Linked DNA regions of Canis lupus familiaris. The protein of the gene in region 1 purifies or fractionates together with the protein of each later gene. This does not show direct contact. Links are inferred from orthologs where the notes say so. Each region holds a gene or a part of one and is shown on either strand. Other genes may lie near its edges. The genes, in order: NKAP, DHX8 and CSNK2B.

Region 1 (6,818 bases):
AATCAAAGTGAAAATATAACATTAAAAAAATCTTTAGGGCAGCCTGGGTGGCTCAGCGGTTTAGCGCCTGCCTTCTGCCCGGGGTGTGATCCTGAAGACCCGGGATCGATTCCCACGTCGGGCTCCCTGCATGGAACCTGCTTCTCCCTCTCTGCCTATGTCTCTGTCTCTGTCTCTGTCTCTGTCTCTGTGTGTGTGTCTCTCATGAATGAATGAATAAATAAGTAAATAAATAAATAAATCTTTTAAAAAATCTTTAGAACACAGCAAAAGCAAGTTCTAAGAGAGAAGTTTACAGCAATACAAGCCTACTTCAAGAAATAAAAATCTCCAATAAACAATCTAACCTTATACCTAGAGGAACTAGAAGAACAAACAAAGCCCAAAGTTAGTAGAAGGAAAGAAATAATAAAGATCAGAGTAGAAATAAATGAAATAGAGACTAAGGGGTGTTTGGGTGGCTCAGTGGTTGAGCATTTGTCTTTGGCTCAGGTGGTGAGTCCAGGGTCTTTGGACTGAGTCCCACATCAGGTTCCCCGCAGGGAGCCTGTTTCTCCCTCTGCCTGTCTCCAACTCTCTCTCTGTGTCTCTCATGAATAAAGAAATAAAATCTTAAAGAAATAGAGACTAAAAAAAACAATAAGGAAAGTAGTGAAATGAAGAGCTGGTTCTTTGAAAAAATAAACAAAATTTATAAACCTTTAGCCAGACTTGTCAAGAAAAAAAAAAGAGAGGGGACTCAGGTGAATGAAATCAGAAATGAAAGAGAAGTTACCAGTGACACCATGGGAACATAAAGGACTGTAAGAGAGTACTACAGAGAATTATATGCCCACAAATAGCACAATCTGGAAAAAAAATGGATAAATTCCTAGGAACATACAATCTTCCAAGACTGAATCAAGAATAAATAGAAAAGATGAACAGGCTGATTACTAATAATCAATGAAAGAATAATGAAATTGAATCTGTAGCCAAAAAACTCCTAACAAACAAAAGTCCAGGACCAGATGGCTTCACAGGTAAATTATACTAAATGTTCCTTTTTTATTGTTTTTTAGTATCATGCCAACCAGAGACGCTGGGGTATGGGTTTTATTATTGGAATCAAAGTGCATGCCTACCAGCCATCGGGCAGGTAGACCAAGCGCTGTTGCAAAGTTGGTTTTTATAGGCAGTAGACGTGAAAGTGTACAGCCTGGTGTCACAAAAGTTGGGTGTAGGTTTCCCATCCAAAACTTTCTTGTTAGAAATTTCTCCAAATCCCCATCCCAAATCATATAATTTCTCCTACTCAATTTAGTCCATAGCCCTCATCCAATGATTGACTGTTTTTACCTAGAAGATACCCAATAGTGTGGTCCACTTTTTCCATTTACATTATGTTAGCATCTTTCCCTTAAATTCTAAAAGAGGAGACTTCCAATAATCTATGGCATTAGTGTTCATGGTCTCATAAGTTGCTTTTTAGGAGGAAAAGCCCAAGAGGCCATCTGACTACTAGTAGACTGGATTCTGAATTTCCACAGCGAACTCATTGTACCCTCAAAAATTAAAGTTCGGGGCAGCCCAGGTGGCTCAGTGGTTTAGCGCCGCCTTCAGCCCAGGGTGTGATCCTGGAGACCTGGGTTCGAGTCCTGGGGCCAGCGTCAGGCTCCCGGCATGGAGCCTGCTTCTCTGTCTCTCTCTCTCTCCTCTCTGTGTCTCTCATGAATAAATAAATAAAATCTTAAAAAAAATTAAAGTCCGTAGAATTAATGTTCATATGTTATTTTATTTAAAAACAGTAGAAAATAGGGCGCCTGAGTGGCTCAGTCAGTTAAGCCTCCGCCTCCAGCTCAGGTCATGATCCCAGGATCCTGGGATTGGGGCATGGGATTGAGTCCCGAGGGGAGCCCCTGCTCAACTGGGAGTCTGTTTCTCCCTCTCTCTCTGACCATCCCTCCCTCTCTTTCTCTCTTTTAAATAAAAAAGATAAAAACAGTATAAAATGAATAGAATAAATAAGTATTAGCCATGTATTGCTGAGCTGCCTTATGATGGGACTCGTCTACAGGGCTGGACAAGTAGGGGCACATTAGCGGAGATGAATTTCTGGGGAATAAATAAGCAGTTTTCTCTGGGCCACAGACTTAACTGTGGTGTATCAGGCTCAAGTTATTAACAAAGAATTTGTGCCCTCTAAGTTAACTGGTCAAAATAGGGCTTAGACATCATAGCTCATCACCAGTTTTGATAGATGCTCCTTATTTTGTTTGAGATTAGAGAGAAAAAAATTATGGGGGCGCCTGGGTGGCTTAAGCCTCTGCCTCCAGCTCAGGTCATGATCTCAGGGTCCTGGGATGGAGCCCACCTTGGGCTGCTTCTCCCTCTCCCCTCGCCCCCTTGTGCTCCTGCCTGCGCTCTCTGAAATAAAAATCTTTAAAAAAATGCGTGTGGGGGTGGGTATGCTCCTACACACAGCGCCATACAAACACATATATAGAGAGAGTTACACTAACTTTTGTTATTCACACGGCCGCTGTGGCCTATCGCCCTTCCCTTCAGGTATTTCAATTGAACGCTGCAGAAAGGACAAGCTCCGCAGTCCGGGTTAGATGTGAGCAGCCTCACTCAGGACCGGAAGGATGAGTGGACCCGGTTGCCCCACGACCTCTTTATACCGCTACACCCATCACAGTCCCGTGGGTAGGACTACCTAGGTCGGGGGAAGGGATTTGCCGACGTACCCGGAACTGTTTCCAAGGTTTCCCCAGGTTAGGGTGGCGGCGCCACGGCGGGTCTGGGGACCTAAACCAACCGAGATCTCCCGAGGCTCGCGAGAGCGCCCGCTTCTCTAGCGGCTTAGGGGACCCAGTGCCTGTGATGGCTCCAGTGTCGGGTTCCCGCAGCCCAGAGAGGGAGGCCTCGGGCTCCGGGTCGAAGCGTCGCAGCTCGTCAAAGAGCCCTAAGCCCAGCAGATCCGCCCGCTCCCCGCGGGGCCGCCGCTCGCGCTCGAGCTCTCGCTCGCACTCCTGCTCTCGCTCTGGGGACCGGAATGGTCTCAGCCATCAGCTGGGTGGCTTCAGCCAAGGGTCCCGAAACCAGTCCTACCGATCCCGCTCCCGATCCCGCTCCCGGGAGCGGCCCTCTGCGCCGCGGGGTAACCCCTTCTTTTCTGCCTCCTCGACTGCGTATTATGGCGGCTACTCGCGTCCCTACGGAAGTGACAAGCCGTGGCCTAGCCTTCTGGACAAGGAGAGGGAGGAGAGCCTGCGGCAGAAGTGAGTGTGACGGGCACGCCTTCTCTTGCAGGAGCCCACCCGACTTCCGTGTCTGTCTCACCGTTCATCCCCCTTCAGACTATTCGGTTTTCACTCTCTGCCTCGCGCCGCTTTCAGCCCCACCCCTTTCCCTGTCAACGCCCCCCCCCCCCCCCACTTTCTATCCCTTCAGCCCCTCCAGCCTTCCCTGTCAACGCCGTTTTCAGCCCTTTTCTATCCCTTTGGTCCTACTCCCCCGCCCCCCGCAAGTTCTTCCCACCCTTTTCTGTCCCGTCGGACCCACCCCCCTACAAGACCTTTTCTCCCCTTTTCTATGCCTTCAGTCCCTCCCATGCCTTTTCCCACCTTTTTCTATCCCTTCTGTCCCCCTCAATGCCTTTTTCAACCCTTTTCTATGCCTTCGACCCCACTTCTCCCCCAACCTCTTCCCACCTTTTTCTATCCCTTCAGTCCGCCCCCTGCCCCCCCGCAATGCCTTTTCTAGCTATTTCTATCCCTTTGGACCCACTCCTTCCCAACCTGTTCCCACCTTTTTCTACCACTACCAGTCCCCCCATAACCTTTTTCCCCCTTTTCTATCCCTTCATTCCCCAACCACAACACCCTTTCCCCCCTCCTTTTCTAGCTCTTCAGTTCCCCCCATACCTATTTCAAACCTTTTCTATCTCTTTGGTCCCACTCCCCCTGCAACCTCTTCCCATCCTTTTTTCTATCCCTTCATTCCGCCCCAACACCTTTTCCCCCCCTTTTCTATCCCGTCAGTTCCCCCCCGCCGCCAATTCCTTTTTCAACACTTCTCTATGTGTTCAGTCACACTCGCCCTCCAACCTCTTCCCATCCTTTTCTACCCCTTCAGTCCCCCCCATAACCTCTTTTTCTCCCTTTTCTATCTCTTCAGTCACTTTCCACAGCACCTTTTCCTCCCTTTTCAATCCCTTCATTCTCCACCACAAAACGTTTCCCCCCTTTTCTATCCCTTCAATCCCCCCAATGCCTTTTTCCACGCTTTTGTATCCCTTTGGTCCCACTCCCCCTTCAACCTTTCCCACCCTTTTCTATCCCCTTCAGTCCCCTTCCAGTGTCTTTTTCCACATGTTTCTATGCCCTCAGTCCCTCTCCCCAACTAACTTCTTCCCACTCATTGCTATCCCTGTAATCCCACCCCTCCACAACACCTTTTTCTGCACTTTTCTGTCCTTCAGTCCCCCTCCAATGTCTTTTTCCACTGTTTTCTATGCCTTCGGTCCCTCCCCTCCCACTCTTTGCTATCCCTTCAGTACCTCCCAACACCTTTTCTTCCCTTTGCTATCTATCCCTTCTGTCACCCGCCAATGTCTTTTTCCATGCTTTTCTATGCCTTCAGTGCCTCTCCCCCCTCAACCTCTTCCCCCCTCCACTTTTCTGTCCCTTTAGTCCCCCTTTTACCCACTTTTCTAACCCTTTTACTCCCCCCAGTGCTTTTTTCCATTTTCCAATGCATTCCAAAAATGCATGTTTTCTATCCTTTTGGTCACACTCCCTCTTTTTTTTTAATAATAAATTTATTTTTTATTGGTGTTCAATTTGCCAACATACAGAATAACACCCAGTGCTCATCCCGTCAAGTGCCCCCCTCAGTGCTCGCCACCCAGTCACCCCCACCCCCTGCCCTCCTCCCCTTCCACCACCCCTAGTTCGTTTCCCAGAGTTAGGAGTCTTCCATGTTCTGTCTCCCTTTCTGATATTTCCTACCCATTTCTTCTCCCTTCCCCTCTATTCCCTTTCACTATTATTTATATTCCCCAAATGAATGAGGCCATATAATGTTTGTCCTTCTCCGATTGACTTATTTCACTCAGCATAATACCCTCCAGTTCCATCCACGTTGAAGCAAATGGTGGGTATTTGTCGTTTCTAATGGCTGAGTAATATTCCATTGTATACATAGACCACAGCTTCTTTATCCATTCATCTTTCGATGGACACCGAGGCTCCTTCCACAGTTTGGCTGTTGTGGACATTGCTGCTAGAAACATCGGGGTGCAGGTGTCCCGGCATTTCATTGCATCTGTATCTTTGGGGTAAATCCCCAGCAGTGCAATTGCTGGGTCGTAGGGCAGGTCTATTTTTAACTCTTTGAGGAACCTCCACACAATTTTCCAGAGTAGCTGCACCATTTCACATTCCCACCAACAGTGCAAGAGGGTTCCCTTTTCTCCGCATCCTCTCCAACATTTGGTCACACTCCCTCTTAACCTCTTCCCACCCTTTTCTGTCGCTTCAGTCTTCCCCCAACACCCTTTTCCATCCCTTCAGTCCCCCTCAATGTCTCTTTCCACCCTCTTCTGTGTCATTGGACCCACTCTCCCACCAGTCTCTTCCCACCCTTTTCTATCCCTTCAGTCCCCCTAATGCCTTTTTCCACCCTTTTCTATACCTGTAGTCCCACTCTACCCCCCAACCTCTTCCCACTCTTTTTTATCCCTAAGTCCCTCCTACAACACCTTTCTCTTTTTTCAATCCCCTCAGTCCCCCCAATCCCTTTTTCTACTCTTTTCAATCCCTTCAGCCCCCCAACACTTTTTCCCCGTTTTCTATCCTTCAGTCCCCCCAGTGCCTTTTGCAACCCCTTTCTATGCCTTTGGTCATACCCTCCGCCCCCAGTCTCTTCCCACGCTTTTCTCTCCCTTCCTTCCCCTCACACACCTTTTTCCCTCTTTTCTCTCCTTTCAGCCTCCCCCAATCCTTCCCCCCCTTTTTTATCCCTTCAGTTCCCCTCAGTGCCTTTTCCACCCTTTTCTATGCCTTTAGTCCCCACTTGCCTTTTTCCATCCCATTCCATCCCTTCAGTCTCCCTCAATACCTTTTCTGCCTTTTCTATCCCTTAAGTCCCTCTCCCAATGCCTTTTCCTACCCTTTTCTATCCCTTAGTTTCCACTCCTCCTCCGCAACCTTTTCCCAGTCTTTTCTACCCCTTCAGTCTCCACCCCACAACCTCTTGTTCCTCCTTTTCTCCTCCTTCAGTCCCACCCCCCTGCCTGCAGTGCCTTTTTCGACCCTTTTCCATCCCATAGGTCCCCTCCACACACAATGCCTTTTTCCACCCCTCTCGTCCCTTGGGTTTTCCCTCCTCCTCCTCTTCCTCGAGTGGCTTCATAGGGAGCACCCTGGTGTCTCACTGCTTTCTTCTGCCTTCTGGCTTTTAGGGGTTCTCTTCTGAACCTCACACCTATGAGAATTACAGTACTTGCTTGGTTGTGTCATTATTTTTTGTAAGCATGTTTTTATTTCACACTAGAGACTGAGCTCCTGGAAAAGAAGAGACGTATTTTAATTGATCACAAAATTAGCAGAGCCTAGCACTTTGTAGGCGAACAACCGTTGCTTGTTGGATGATCAGACAGGCTTGAGGTAACAGGTTTTGTAAGTGGAAATGTTTCCTACCAAGTTTGGAAGGCTTGAGATTAAAAGTTTAAATTGGTTATAAAAAAAAAGTTTAAATTGGAGGGGAGAAAAACCTCTGAGACAAGATGGTTCAGTGGAGCAAAAGTGATCTGCTAAACTGTTGATTAAGCT
Region 2 (6,044 bases), on another chromosome or scaffold:
TATTTGAAAAAGACACCAGTGCAGTTTCATTTCTGCATCCCCAAGCACCTAGCACAGTGCCACACACATCAGGTACCTACTAAGTGTGGAACTGAATGAGTTTCCCTAACTACAACAACCCCCACAGGCCAGTAAAAGATGAGGTCACAAACATATTCAGCCTCTTTCAAGCCAGATTTCTATCTTATGAATGACTTGGCATCTCCTGCCTAAGTACTCTTTGCAGGGAACAATGAAATACATCTAACTATGTGGTACATGGCCAGCCTAGATTCTGTAAACTTGCCCAAAATTTTGCTTAGCTGGTCCACAAAATTCAACTATTACAGTACCCTAAACCTCCAAAGGATAAGACACTAAGGACAAACCGGTGCTCAGCATCTCTTTGCTTCTCCTGGCCCGCTGCACTGGGCATTAAGGCCTCCAGTTCTTTCAGGACATCCACAGCAACTTTCACATCATCTTCATCCAGCATGGTCTACAACAGCAGAGGCCAGCAAAGTTAGAAGGAGAGAAGATGATCATGTGAGAATCTGCACTCTAGGTCCATCTACAAACCTGACAGCCCCTATATCACTAACCACGTATGGGAAGGAAGCAGAAGCAGGTGGAAATTTCCAACACAATTTGAGAGAGAGGCGGAAGGAATGCGCAAAGGCTCTTAGAAGTCACTGCTACATTTAGCAAATTTCCCTTTGCCTTCATACAAGCTCACAGAGGGCAATTAGCTATCACCTCTCCTGTTAAAGCATTGTGTGATGATTATAAATTGAAAATAAATGTTAAGGGGTGCCTGGGTGGTTCAGTCAGTTAAAGCATCTGCCTTCAGCTCAGGTCAGAACTCAGGGTCCCGGGAGCAAGCCCAACATTGGGCTCCCTGCTCAGCAGGGAGTCTGTTTCTCCCTCTTCCTCTGCTCTTCCCCTGGCTAGTGCACTAGCTCTCTCTCAAATTAATAAAATCTTAAAAAATAATATGTGAAAATCCCCAGTGATAAAAGAAATTCTGCTCATCACAGGTATGAAAGAAGAACACTAGCCAAATAAATAAATAAATAATTTTGCTAAATAAAAATCAAAACACTTAAAAAATTAGACCCTTTAACATGTAATAGAGAAAAAAAATCTAATTTCACATATCAGGTATCTGTTCTAGTACCTTAAGCTGTCTCATACTTATTCCATATCCCTAATTATGGCTTCCCACAATTCTCAACACCACTTCCCTGAAACATCATTCTCTGAACATAGTACATGCTCAGAGAACAGCCCAACACTTTTAGTTTGAAAAATATAATGAACATAAACTTAAAACTAGGAACTAATGAGACAAAGCAAAGGGACACGGAGGAGAAATACCCAGTGATAGCAGAGATTCTCAAAATGGGATCAGTACCCGGACAGAAGGGTTGTCTGGTTGGCAAAGGACCGGGAAGAGTTCCTTTAGCTTTTCTTTTCCGGTTTTGGGTTTAACAACTGGATCTTGTTTTCATCAAAGATAAAGAAGTTAAAAAAAAAAAAAAAAAGATTTAATATTTTAAACAAAGAACCTCAATATCAGATTTGCATCCAACTAAAAACTGAACATGACATTTTTCTACATATTATTCATACACATTACTATAAACATAATTTAATTTCCTAAAAATAACACTGATGACAAAACCCTCAACAAACTATCTGCACATGTGGTGGGGGGTGTGGAGGGGATACATCAGAATTCATGAGTTTAATTTTAAATCATTTGGAAAATTTTACTAGATTGTATACTTGGCCCAGCAGCTGCTAGAGAAAGAACACAATCTACAGGGACACCTAGGTGGCTCAGCAGTTGAGTGTCTGCCTTCGGCTCAGGGTGTGATCCTGGGGTCGATCAAGTCCTGCATCAGGCTCCTTGTGGGGGGCCTGCTTCTCCCTCTGCTTCTGTCTCTGCCCTCTCTCTGTGACTCTCATGAATAAATAAATAATCTTAAAAAAAAAAAAAAAAGGAACACAGTCTACAGGATGCTCACATTCTAAACCATTCTGGAGGCTAGGCACAGCCAGATGTTCTACTCACCTTTGCTAGTAGAAGGCTTTGCTGGAGGCCGCATGGTTTGTATGAGGCGCAGCAAGTTACTAATAAGAGAATCCTTTGAAAAGAAACAGAACAAAAATTATCAACCCTTAAATCAGTGCTTAAAAACACTTTAAAAAGGGGCACCTGGGTGGTACCTGACTCTTGATTCCACTCAGGTCATGATCTCAAGGTTGAGAGACTGAGCCCCATGCTGGGCTCCATGCTCAACACAGGGTTAAGACTCTCTCTCTCTCTAACCCTGGGGGCCCTCTCCTGCCCACCCCACCCCCAACACACACACAGCTCAAGTGCTCTCTAAAATAAATACATCTTTAAAAAAAAAAAAAAAACCAACTAAGAAAAGGTGATTGTTACCTGAATGGAGGCAACTGAAACAATGAAACACAGAGTTTCAACTTGATAGGCATGAACCTAGCAAAGTAGCTTCAGAGAAAGCTAATATTTAGGACTCTTTGGGGGAGGGGAAAGTAATTTAGTTCCAGTCAACCGTTTTTATTTTCCACCATTTAGAACTACCTCCAAAACCTAGACTCTTTTGTTTTTGACTTCATAGAACAAGAATATAAACACTCATAAAAGGCTTAACGATGGAAATCCTGCCCCATTTTCCTAGAAAAGTGTCACAGGAAATCCGGTTATATTACCACTGCTCAGTGGCATGAAACATTACACACTTAATGGTTTCTTTGATTGGTATGTACAAATTATCTCCCTTTTCCATCAAAATCCTATGTGAAATCCTATCAAAATTTAAATTCAATAGTGACATTAAAACGAAACCGGGGTCTCCAAGAACACATACCGTGAATTCAGCACCATTTTTGACCAGAGAAGCCTTAAAAGTATCAAAGGTGGTATTTTTCTCAGCCAGACTGATCACGAATTCAGCTGCAGAGGAGAAAAGGAATTAAAACTGGAGTGAAGACAAGCAAAAAATTACTTTCAAGTACATTAAAAGCAAAACCAATTAGCCTATCTACCAGTCATAAAAACCAAAGAGTCCCATCAAGTGAGAGTCAAATAAGAGAATTTAGAGTACCAAGATTATCTATGTATGTTCCAGTTAATTTTTCGAAATGCAAAGATATTAATACAGAAAGGCTCAGTGGGCCCTTCAGTGCATCTAAGGGAGAAATATCTCCCTGTCCCAGATCATCGTACTCTTCTCATGAGACTACTACCTGTGTGCATTGCCATACAGACTCCAGAGGTATCAATGCCCAAAAGCAAGAGCCCTCTCCCTCCCACTGCCATGGATGCACACAGTAGGATGCTTTCTACAGTTTCAGGTAGGTCTGACCCAATCCATCTACGAGAGCCAGGCAGCTGCTGGATGGTACAATCTCCAAGTGGATCAAAGACTCACTTGCCCCCCAGATTTTTCTCTACAAACCTGCCCAGTGTCTGAAATTTCTAATATTTGAGCTATTTATTAAGAGACTTTTGGGAGAGAAGTGCATTTTATGAGGGCTGAGATAAGCCTCACATGGTGAACCCCACAAGAAAATGGTTACTGATTTCATCTGGATTTTATTTTTTTTTAAGATTTTATTTATTTATTCATGAGAGATACAGAGAGACAGGCAGAGATATAGGCAGAGGGAGAAGCAGGCTCCTTGCGGAGAGCCTGATGTAGGACTCGATCCCAGGACCCCGGGATCACACCCTGTGCCAAAAGCAGACACTCAACCACTGAGCCACCCAGGTGCCCCTCAAGAGACTATTCCAAAGCAATCAGCAGCACATTCATACTGCAGCTGTCATTAATCAGGGTTTTTTTAAATTTTCAGAATTATAAGGGGACATCATTAAATTAACTGAACTATCAAAGATGAATTAGTGAGTCAGATTTTTTTTAAGCGAGCTCTACACCCAACGTGGGGCTAGAAATCATGACCTGGACATCAAGAGTCACACAGCTCTACCAACTGAGCTAGCCAGGTGCCCCAAAGATCAATTAGTGATTAAAAACAAGTTCAATGCTGAAAAGCAGGGACAATAATGACACCGATGTAAATGATAATACATCAGGGTGCCTCGGTGACTCATTCGGGTTAACCATCTGACTCCTGATTTTGGCTCAGGTCATGATCTCAGGGTGGTGAGATCAAGCCCTGTCAGGCTCCACGTGGGGGTGTGGAGCCTGCTTCTTTAGTCTCTTCTCCCTCCCCTCTGCCTCTTATTTCCCTTAAAAAAAAATTTAATTTTAAAAAGATAACATATTAAGACCAAAATCAAAAGAATGAAGTCAATAAATAAAATATAAAAGTAGCAAATATAGGGACGCCTGGGTGGCTCAGTGGTTGAGCACCTCCCTTCAGCCCAGGGCATGATCCTGGAGTACTAGGATCAAGTCCCACATCAGGCTCCCTGCATGGAGCCTGCTTCTCCCTCTGCCTATGTCTCTGCCTCTCTGTGTCTTTCATGAATAAATAAATAAAATCTTAAAAAAAAAAGTAGCAAATATATACCTTTTTGTTATTAAATCCACTTTGGCAATTTCGTTTCAACAGAACAATACTATCACATTTTTCCAACTTTAGTAATTTTAACATTACTGATTTTATAATTCTATGTTCAACACTGTGATATTGTGATTTATTGTAAGAAGAAATATGTGTTTGGTCTTCATCCCCTTTCCAGGCACAGCACTCCTAAAACTTGGAATTTCTGCAGTGCAGAGAGTGAAAAAGGTCTTTTGTTACATTAAGGAGATGACTTTAGGAAAGCCCCTATATAAGGGTGAGGCTGGAGGCTGGCTGCCAGGGAAACCAACTAGCAGATTACAGACTGGAACTTTCAGCCCTACCCCTGACCTCTGGAGAGGGGGAAGGGGCTGGAGATGGAGTTCGCTGACCAATGGCCAAGGATTTAATCAACTATGCCAGTTTTTTTTCAATTATCCCTATTATAACAAAGCCTCCACAAACACCCAAAAGGACTGGGTTTGGTCAGCTTCTAGGTAGGTGAACATATGGAGATTTGAGGATAGTGGGGCATTCAGAGAGCATGGAAGCTCCTCAATCTTTCCCACATACTTTGCCCTACGTCTCTCTTCCATTTGGTTGTCCCTGAGTTATATCCTTTTATAATAAGCCGGTAATCTAGGAAGTAAAATGTTAGCTGCTCTAGCAAATTAATCAAACCCAAGGAGGGGGGAGGGTCATTGGAACCTCTGATCTACAGTGACTTGAGTCAGCACAAGTTGACAACCTGATCTTGCAAATAGCAACTGAAGTTTGGGGTGGGGCAGTATTACATGTCTGAGTCTTTAACCTGGGGCATCTGATGCTATTTTCAGGAAGACAGTATCAAACCACAGTTCAATGTAGTACCAGTTAGTGTCATAGCACTGCTTAGCAATACTGGAAAAAAACACATCATAACTGGTGTCAGGGGTGCCTGGCTGGCTCAGTCGGAAGAGCATGAGACTCCTGATCTCAGGTTCGTGAGTTCAAGATCCACATTGGGCATAGAGATTACTTAAATACAGGGATCCCTGGGTGGCGCAGCGGTTTGGCGCCTGCCTTTGGCCCGGGGCGCGATCCTGGAGACCCGGGATCGAATCCCACGTCGGGCTCCCAGCATGGAGCCTGCTTCTCCCTCTGCCTGTGTCTCTGCCTCTCTGTCTCTCTCTGTGTGACTATCATGAATAAATAAATAAAATCTTAAAAAAAAAAAAGAAAAGAGATTACTTAAATACATATTTTTAATAAATAAATAAATAGTGTCAGAACTACAAACAGAAAAAAGCATTATTTGTGGTTTACTTCCAAATTAAATGGAGTCTTTATACACAAGCTAGAAAATTTTGGAGTTTATACCTCACTTTATTTTTGTATATAATGAGATTAACATCAAAACAATTTAACACTGGCTTGGTAAGTGTTTGCTGAATGAAGGAACAGACAACCTAGGTAGCAAACGACAAGAGTGTCACTTATCACCATTTAAAAGAGAAGGAGAA
Region 3 (6,796 bases), on another chromosome or scaffold:
ACCACACTACTTAAATGTGCCCTGTCAGTCAAGTACTGTCATCACCCCCATTTCATGGATAAGGGAACTGAGGCACAGGCAGGCAAACACCTTCCCCAAGGTTACTCGCTCTGGGAGAAGCAAACCTCAAGAAAGGACCATGCCCTGTCCTCCCTTCTCTCTGGGGAATCCCAAACCTTTCCTTTGACCCTGGGTAACTCTATCCCTGCTCCCCACCTGGGCACAAACTGGTTCGCGGGCCGCTTGGGCCGGTACTCGGGGTGCACCATGAAGAGCATGTGAGGGAAACCGGTGCCGAAGTAGGCGCCATCCGTGTGATGGTGCCTCGATGACTTGGGTGTGTACACGTCCATGCACTTGGGGCAGTAGAGCTTCACCATGGCCTCACCTGGGATGTCCGAAAGGCCTGGGAGACAGCTAGACTCAGCAGGCCAGGCACCCCCGAGCCTGCCCCACCACCCTCCCAGACTCAGGCTCAGACTTGCTGAGCCCCATTTCCTTCCCAGAGGACTGGCCATTTCATGAGGCCTCCTTTCCCTTCTCCAACACTCACCGATGGGAAGCATTGGCTGGTTCTCACAGTACACACGGGGACAGTAGCCAAAGTCTCCCTGCTGGTACTTTTCCAACTGAGGTGAATAAAATGAAAGGGGCCGGTGGGTAGGTATGAAAAGAAGAGGCAATCCCCTCCTCAGTCCAACCCACATTGCTCTGTCCTCCACTCCTGCCTCCTTCCGTCCAGATGCCCATTTTAAGCTGGCCAGATGGGCCCTCCTACTCCCCTGCTTCCTTTTCTCCAGGTAGGCAAGTTACAGACCATCAGAGCCATTTGCTGTTTGTTCCCTGAGGAAGAGGCAGACTGCAAAAAATTCCTGTCCAAGGTCACGTCTCCCTCCCTGAAAATACCTCAGTCAGCACAACCCCAATTAGGATTTAATCCCCAGGCCCAGGTTCTGGGGTTCTTCCCCCTCCTTTTTTTTTTCTTAAAGATTTTATTTATTCACGAGAGACAGAAAGAGAGACAGACACAGGCAAGAGAAGAGGCAGGTTCCCTGCGGGGAGCCCAATGCGGGACTCAATCCCAGGACCCCAGGATCACAACCTGAGCCGAAGGCAGACGCTCAGCCTCTGAGCCACCCAGGCGCCCTCTTCCCCTCTTCTTAGCTATAATCTGTGACAAGTTTGAAAACGTGACTCCTTGCTGCAAGAACCTGTTTCCCTTACTACCTCAGAGGAGTCAAGTGGGAGCAGAGAGGCCTCACCATCTGGGCGATGCCACGGTTGGTGAGGATATAGCGGGCGTGGATCAATCCATAAAGCATCTCGGCTGCCTGCTCAATCAGGTCGCTCTGGTTGGGGTTGTCTTCCAGCTCTTCATCTGAAACATGGCCGCAGCCAATTGCAATCACTTGTCTTACAGCTTTCTTAGGTGCCCCATCCACCTCCAGGGGCTGCTGGCTACTCATCTTTGCGCCACCCATCACCTGGGCATTTGACCCAGAAACCTGGGCCTCTGGCCCTTCCACCCACCCACCCAAGGCAGCTCTGCCTTCTCTCTATACCTCTTCAGCCTTTACTCTCTTCTCTCCCTCCCAACTCTCTCAACACATAAATGAAAAAGATCAACATAGAAGCTGGAACTCTAGACTGAAAGGTGCAAGGCAAGACAGGTAAGCAGGAAATGAGATCCATGAGGAAACTAACATTAAGGGAGAGAGCCAAGTTACAGGATCAGAGTGTAGAATGAGGCTGTCACAAATCCAGGCAAAAGTCAGATGAGAGAGCAAAATAAAGTACAGAACTTAGGACAAAAGCAATCAGAGAACCAAAAGGAAATTTAGAAATTCAAGAAGCAGATCAACAGGAATTTGGGAGAAAAAAGAAAAACCACACACACACACACACACACACAAAGATAACCCCGAGGATGCCTCACCAGGCTCCAGGTCCAAGATCATGTCTAGAGCTTGTCGATAGTGAGGCACCTGCTCATTGAGTCCAGTGAGATTGAATTTATCCTGGATGTAGTCTTCATCCACCTGTCAGGATGTGGAAGTCAAGAAGAAACCCATAGCAGAATCCTCAGCTTTGATCTGGGCACATTGCTCTAATTGGTGCCTTGTTTCCAACACAACTGCTTCTGTTTTCCCTAATTCCCCACACCAACTCAGCAGAAATCCTTGAGTCTCTCTCCCCAGTTCACATACACTGCCTTCCCATAAAAGCTCTGGCTTTTCTTTCCTAAGGATAAGCAGCTACAACAATCTCTTCCTTAACGAGACACTCCTTTTAAAATCCCTGTTCCTATTCTTGATCCCATCTCTACAGACCAGTTTTGTCCTCTCCTTACCGGCAGCTAGAACTCTAAGAAAAGCAGCGACTAAACAGCTTGGGTCCTGTGGGCAGTTATAATCCATTATATCATTAGCACAAAACTTTGCCTGTTACAAAACATTTTGATAAACGGCATTTTAATCCTAATAGGCTCCCAAATTAAGCACTACTAGTACAAGCCTAGCAATAATAATAAGAATAACAGTAGTAGTAGTAGTAGTAATAAAGTTGACTTTTCCAATATTACACCGCTGGACAGTAACAGGCTTGGGATGGGCAAGTCTTGCCACTTCACAAATTAGTGAGGGGAGTTACTGAAGGGACTCTTCCTTGACAGGAAAAAGTTTCTATGACAGCCTGTAAGAGAAGTAGAAGCTAAATATGTGGAAAAACATACAGCCAAACTTTGTGCGGACATAGCTGGGAGATTGAGAACTCACTTCACAAAAGAATTCATTGCCACGGAGCCCACAGAACCAGGATATCCAAGACACCTCCTCTGAGCTGCTCATCTTCACGTCAGCTGGGAAAAAAAAAAAAAAGAGGGTAAACAAAGGCCAAGCTCCCCCACCCTGTCTCTGGTACCTTCCCTCCTCCCCACACTCTGCTCCCCGACCATGGAAGAATTTGGAGCCCCCTTTTCTTAAAGGATCCTAGACCCTGGCGCACCTGCCTCCAATTCCTCTTATTCACTAGAGGCTCTTTGGAGTCCCACCACTTCTGAAAAACCGACAGGTCTAGGCTCACCCGTCCTACCCACACCCCTAACAATCCCGAAAACCAGCACCCTCTCCTCTTTACGTCAAGTCCCTCCCTCGCAGGGCTCTCGGCTCGAGATCCCTACCCCGCAGGTCTCCGCATGTCCCCGACACCTTTCCCAAGGGTTCCGAAGTTTATCCTTTCCAAGCAAAAGCCAGGACCCTTTCCCCTCACGACCTGGAGGTGGCCCTGGGTCCCTCTCACAGGAGTCCCCACACCCCGCCTCTCAGGCCAACCCTCCCTCCCCCGGTGCCGGACCGGGTCACTTCCTTCCCCACCCCCACACCAACGCGCGGAGACCCCATGTGCCGCGCCTAAGGACGGAAGACTCGATGCGGCAACGACCTCAGACTCACCGGCTGGGCGGGGACCGGGACCGGGACCGGGGTGGGGGAGGGGAGTTGCTGCTTCCAAAGAACCGCGACGGCTACAGCGCAGGCCGCGGACCCGACCGCGGCAGGCGAAGTAGCGAGGGGGGGGGGGCGGGGGGCGGTGTGTGTGGAAATTGGGGAGGGTGGGGAGAGGGCAACGCGCAAGCGCCAAGGGTCGGGCGCCGCAGTGAACGCCGGGAAATGGAGTCCCAGGTAAAGAGAAACTGGCGAAGCGAAGAACAGGCGAACTACGAATCCCAGGATGACCCACGAACGACCCTGGCGTCGCGAGGCCCAGGAACAAGACGCTCGGGGGTGGGGAGCAGCGGGATACCACCGGAAGCGGAAGCGCAGTACCCCGTTCTGGGCCAGGGAGTATGGGAAATAGAGTCGTAGGGTCGCGCAACTGAGGGGCCGGGAGGGGGCGGGGAAGGAACGGGGCTGGAGGGCTGGATTCCTGCAACTCCCCTCACACAGCGAGGCTCTGCCCCAGGTGTTTGCCGGCAGCCCAGGGTGCTGACCTCGTCCCCGACTACCCCACCGGGTCCTTGTTGCCTGCGGAGCCTCTCGCCAGAGTCAGGCCCGCCACTGGAGGCCCCACCCGGGCCGGTGCTTCACCCCGGGGTCTAGTCTCCTCAGGCGGGAGGTGAGGCCGGGCTCCTTGCTTGCGGGACGTGGGAAGAGTGGGCTGGGCTGAGGTGAGCGGTGTGAGAATTGGGACGGCCTGTGCGCTAACCTGAAGTGGCGCCAGCCATTCTGCTGCTCGTCCCCTTGCACTTTTCCATCTCCTCTCAGAGCTTGAATGGGGCCTTCTGCTGCGGGCACTAAGTGTGACCTTCGAACCCTGCTCAGAATAATGGTGAGGGGTGGCGTGACGTTATTTCACTTCACGGCTTCGGGGCATTCCACAGGTTTCCTCCCGCCTTCTCAGAGCCCTCCTTAACTCGGTGGTTTCGCAGGTCCAAAAACTGCGCTCGGAGTGGGGGGCCACGTTCCGGGAGGCGAAGGGCATTGTGGGGCGTTATGTAGAAGTAGGACCCCAACCGACAGAGCCTCTGTCCTCGCGCTGCCTGGGCACGTGGCATCCTGGAGGGTCCCACCGTGCGAAGGCTCAGCCTGGCGCTTCGCACACGCCCGCACCCTCAAGTTCTGCTTTGTGGTGGTTGATTTTTTTTTCAGTCACACATGTGTGTCTGGGTCGTGTGGCTATTGGACTGGCAGCACCTTTGCTTAGATAAAATTTTTGTGGTACAGAGACCCTGTGGGGTCTCCACAGAGACTGGAGTTTCTCCCCCAAATCTTCTTCTTGCATCCGGAGAAGGTTAAAAGTCTGTTTTTGTTTGGAAAGACCCTACCCTGACATAGGATCAAGGAAGATTTAAAGGGCTAGGCTGATTGTTTTCTTAACTGCACGTCTTACCTGGTGATCAAGTAGTTTGAGAGAGAAGCTGTTTTTACTTATTGGTGAGGATAGGGATGGGCCTCTGGGCAATTCTCATTAAATCTTTGTTAAGTTAACCTTTACGAGGGATATGGGCTGTTATTGTATGGCTCCCTGTTTTTCCACATGACCTATGGTCCTTAGGCCCTGTAGGGTCCTAGGTTGTGGGGTCACTTAGAGTATAAGACGGGTTTTTGACTTGGAAAAGGCTACTTTTCCTCATCCCAGCAGATCTGTGGAGGTGGTTCTGGTCAGTGCAGAGCCACCAAGGGATTGGCTTGCTTGTCTCATACGCCCTTTAATTAGTCTCATTGTCTCAGTTCTCCCAAAAGCCATGTCCAGGCCCTCCCTCATCACCTTCACCCCGGCCACCAACCCCAGTGACCTCTGGAAAGATGGGCAGCAGCAGTCACAGCCTGAAGAGCTGGAGCCCACCCTGAATGGGGCTGCAGCCCGGGCTTTCTATGAGGCCCTGATTGCAGAAGAGAGCAGCATCCCTGCATCCCAGAGATCTCAGCCTGAACCTGACAGGAAAAGAAAGAGGAAGAAGAGAAGAATGATGGGGGAAGCTGCTGTAGGAGCCTCAGCAGGACATGGACAAAGGAGATCCCTTGAGGCAGAGGACAAGATGACCCATTGGATACTGAGGGCAGCCCAGGAGGGTGACCTAGCAGAACTAAGAAGGCTCTTGGATCCCCACGAGGCAGGGGGAGCGGGGGGCAATATCAATGCTCGGGATGCCTTCTGGTGGACCCCCCTGATGTGTGCTGCTCGAGCAGGCCAGGGGGCTGCTGTGCGCTATCTCCTGGGCCGTGGAGCTGCCTGGGTGGGTGTCTGTGAGCTGGGTGGCAAGGATGCTGCTCAGCTGGCTGAAGAAGCGGGTTTTCCTGAGGTGGCGCGCATGGTCCGAGAGAGCCACGGAGAGACGAGGAATCCAGAGAACCGGTGAGAGGAAGCCTTAACCCATGCCCATCTTTCAGTGTGTTCTGCCCTTCCTAGTCCCTCCATGCCAGAGGCTCCGGAACAGACTCAAAGATTCTCTCCCTGATCCCCAGTGTAGGTTGATATGGCAATGGAATCGAGTAGTAGTAAATGTGAGCTCCCTGTTTTTTTTGTGTGTGTGTTTTTTTAAGATTTTTATTTATTTATTCATGAGAGACACAGAGAGAGAGAGAGAGGCAGAGGGAGAAGCAGGCTCCCTGCAGGGAGCCCGATGTGGAACTCATCCAAGGTCTCCAGGATCACACCCTGGGCCAAAGGCAGGCGCTCAACCGCTGAGCCACCCAGGTGTCCCAGCTCCCTGGGTTTAAATTCTGATTCTACTTACTTGGTCAAGCAACCTAATTTTTATGTGCCTCATTTTCCTTATCTGAGAAATGGGGGGTAACAAGAGCACCTGTTAAAGAATTGTGAGGATTTAATGGGTCAATATATGTAAAGTGTTAGGATGACGGTTTACCATATATATATATATATAGTTAATATATATATATAGGGGATTAACTATATACATATATATAGGGGATCCCTGGTGGCGCAGGGCGCGATCCTGGAGACCCGGGATCGGATCCCACATCGGGCTCCCGGTGCATGGAGCCTGCTTATGTCTCTGCCTCTCTCTCTCTCTCTTTCTCTCTGTGACTATCATAAAAAAAAAAAAAAATTTTTTTAAACTATATATATATAAATATACATATATAAATATATATATAAATTGTAGTTATTATGCCTTGCCCAAGATCTTGTGAAGCCTGGTTGCTATTTCTTCTAGCTGTTCCCCTCTGGGTCCCTCATTGCTAAGTGGGTTGGAAGGCAATTTCTTTCTTAGCAGAAAGGCTAGAAGGACTTCCCACCTTGCCACCCCGCTCTGCCTGCCTCCCTCTCCACTCCC

What was found.
Region 2: the proteins of NKAP (region 1) and DHX8 purify together in Homo sapiens (co-immunoprecipitation; 3 studies listed by BioGRID and IntAct, with this or other methods). This does not show direct contact. The link is inferred for Canis lupus familiaris from reciprocal best matches to the Homo sapiens genes NKAP and DHX8.
Region 3: the proteins of NKAP (region 1) and CSNK2B purify together in Homo sapiens (co-immunoprecipitation; 3 studies listed by BioGRID and IntAct, counting the BioPlex papers as one, with this or other methods). This does not show direct contact. The link is inferred for Canis lupus familiaris from reciprocal best matches to the Homo sapiens genes NKAP and CSNK2B.

The regions. Positions count from the first base shown.
Region 1 is NC_049260.1:92,631,682-92,638,499, reverse strand, and holds the start of NKAP (NF-kappa-B-activating protein), read left to right. Parts: upstream 1-2,716; 5' UTR 2,717-2,865; coding exon 2,866-3,263; intron 3,264-6,818. UniProt on the Homo sapiens protein: Acts as a transcriptional repressor. Plays a role as a transcriptional corepressor of the Notch-mediated signaling required for T-cell development. Also involved in the TNF and IL-1 induced NF-kappa-B activation.
Region 2 is NC_049230.1:19,634,951-19,640,994, forward strand, and holds part of DHX8 (ATP-dependent RNA helicase DHX8), read right to left. Parts: intron 2,966-6,044; coding exon 2,880-2,965; intron 2,130-2,879; coding exon 2,057-2,129; intron 1,480-2,056; coding exon 1,394-1,479; intron 479-1,393; coding exon 369-478; intron 1-368.
Region 3 is NC_049233.1:1,285,661-1,292,456, reverse strand, and holds the start of CSNK2B (casein kinase II subunit beta), read right to left. Parts: upstream 4,340-6,796; 5' UTR 4,250-4,339; coding exon 4,201-4,249; exon of another isoform or gene 4,122-4,200; intron 4,111-4,121; exon of another isoform or gene 3,703-4,110; intron 3,603-3,702; exon of another isoform or gene 3,450-3,602; intron 3,327-3,449; exon of another isoform or gene 3,179-3,326; intron 2,858-3,178; coding exon 2,775-2,857; intron 2,040-2,774; coding exon 1,937-2,039; intron 1,379-1,936; coding exon 1,263-1,378; intron 630-1,262; coding exon 554-629; intron 407-553; coding exon 217-406; intron 1-216. Other genes in the region: GPANK1 (G patch domain and ankyrin repeat-containing protein 1), read left to right, coding at 5,240-5,850. UniProt on the Homo sapiens protein: Regulatory subunit of casein kinase II/CK2.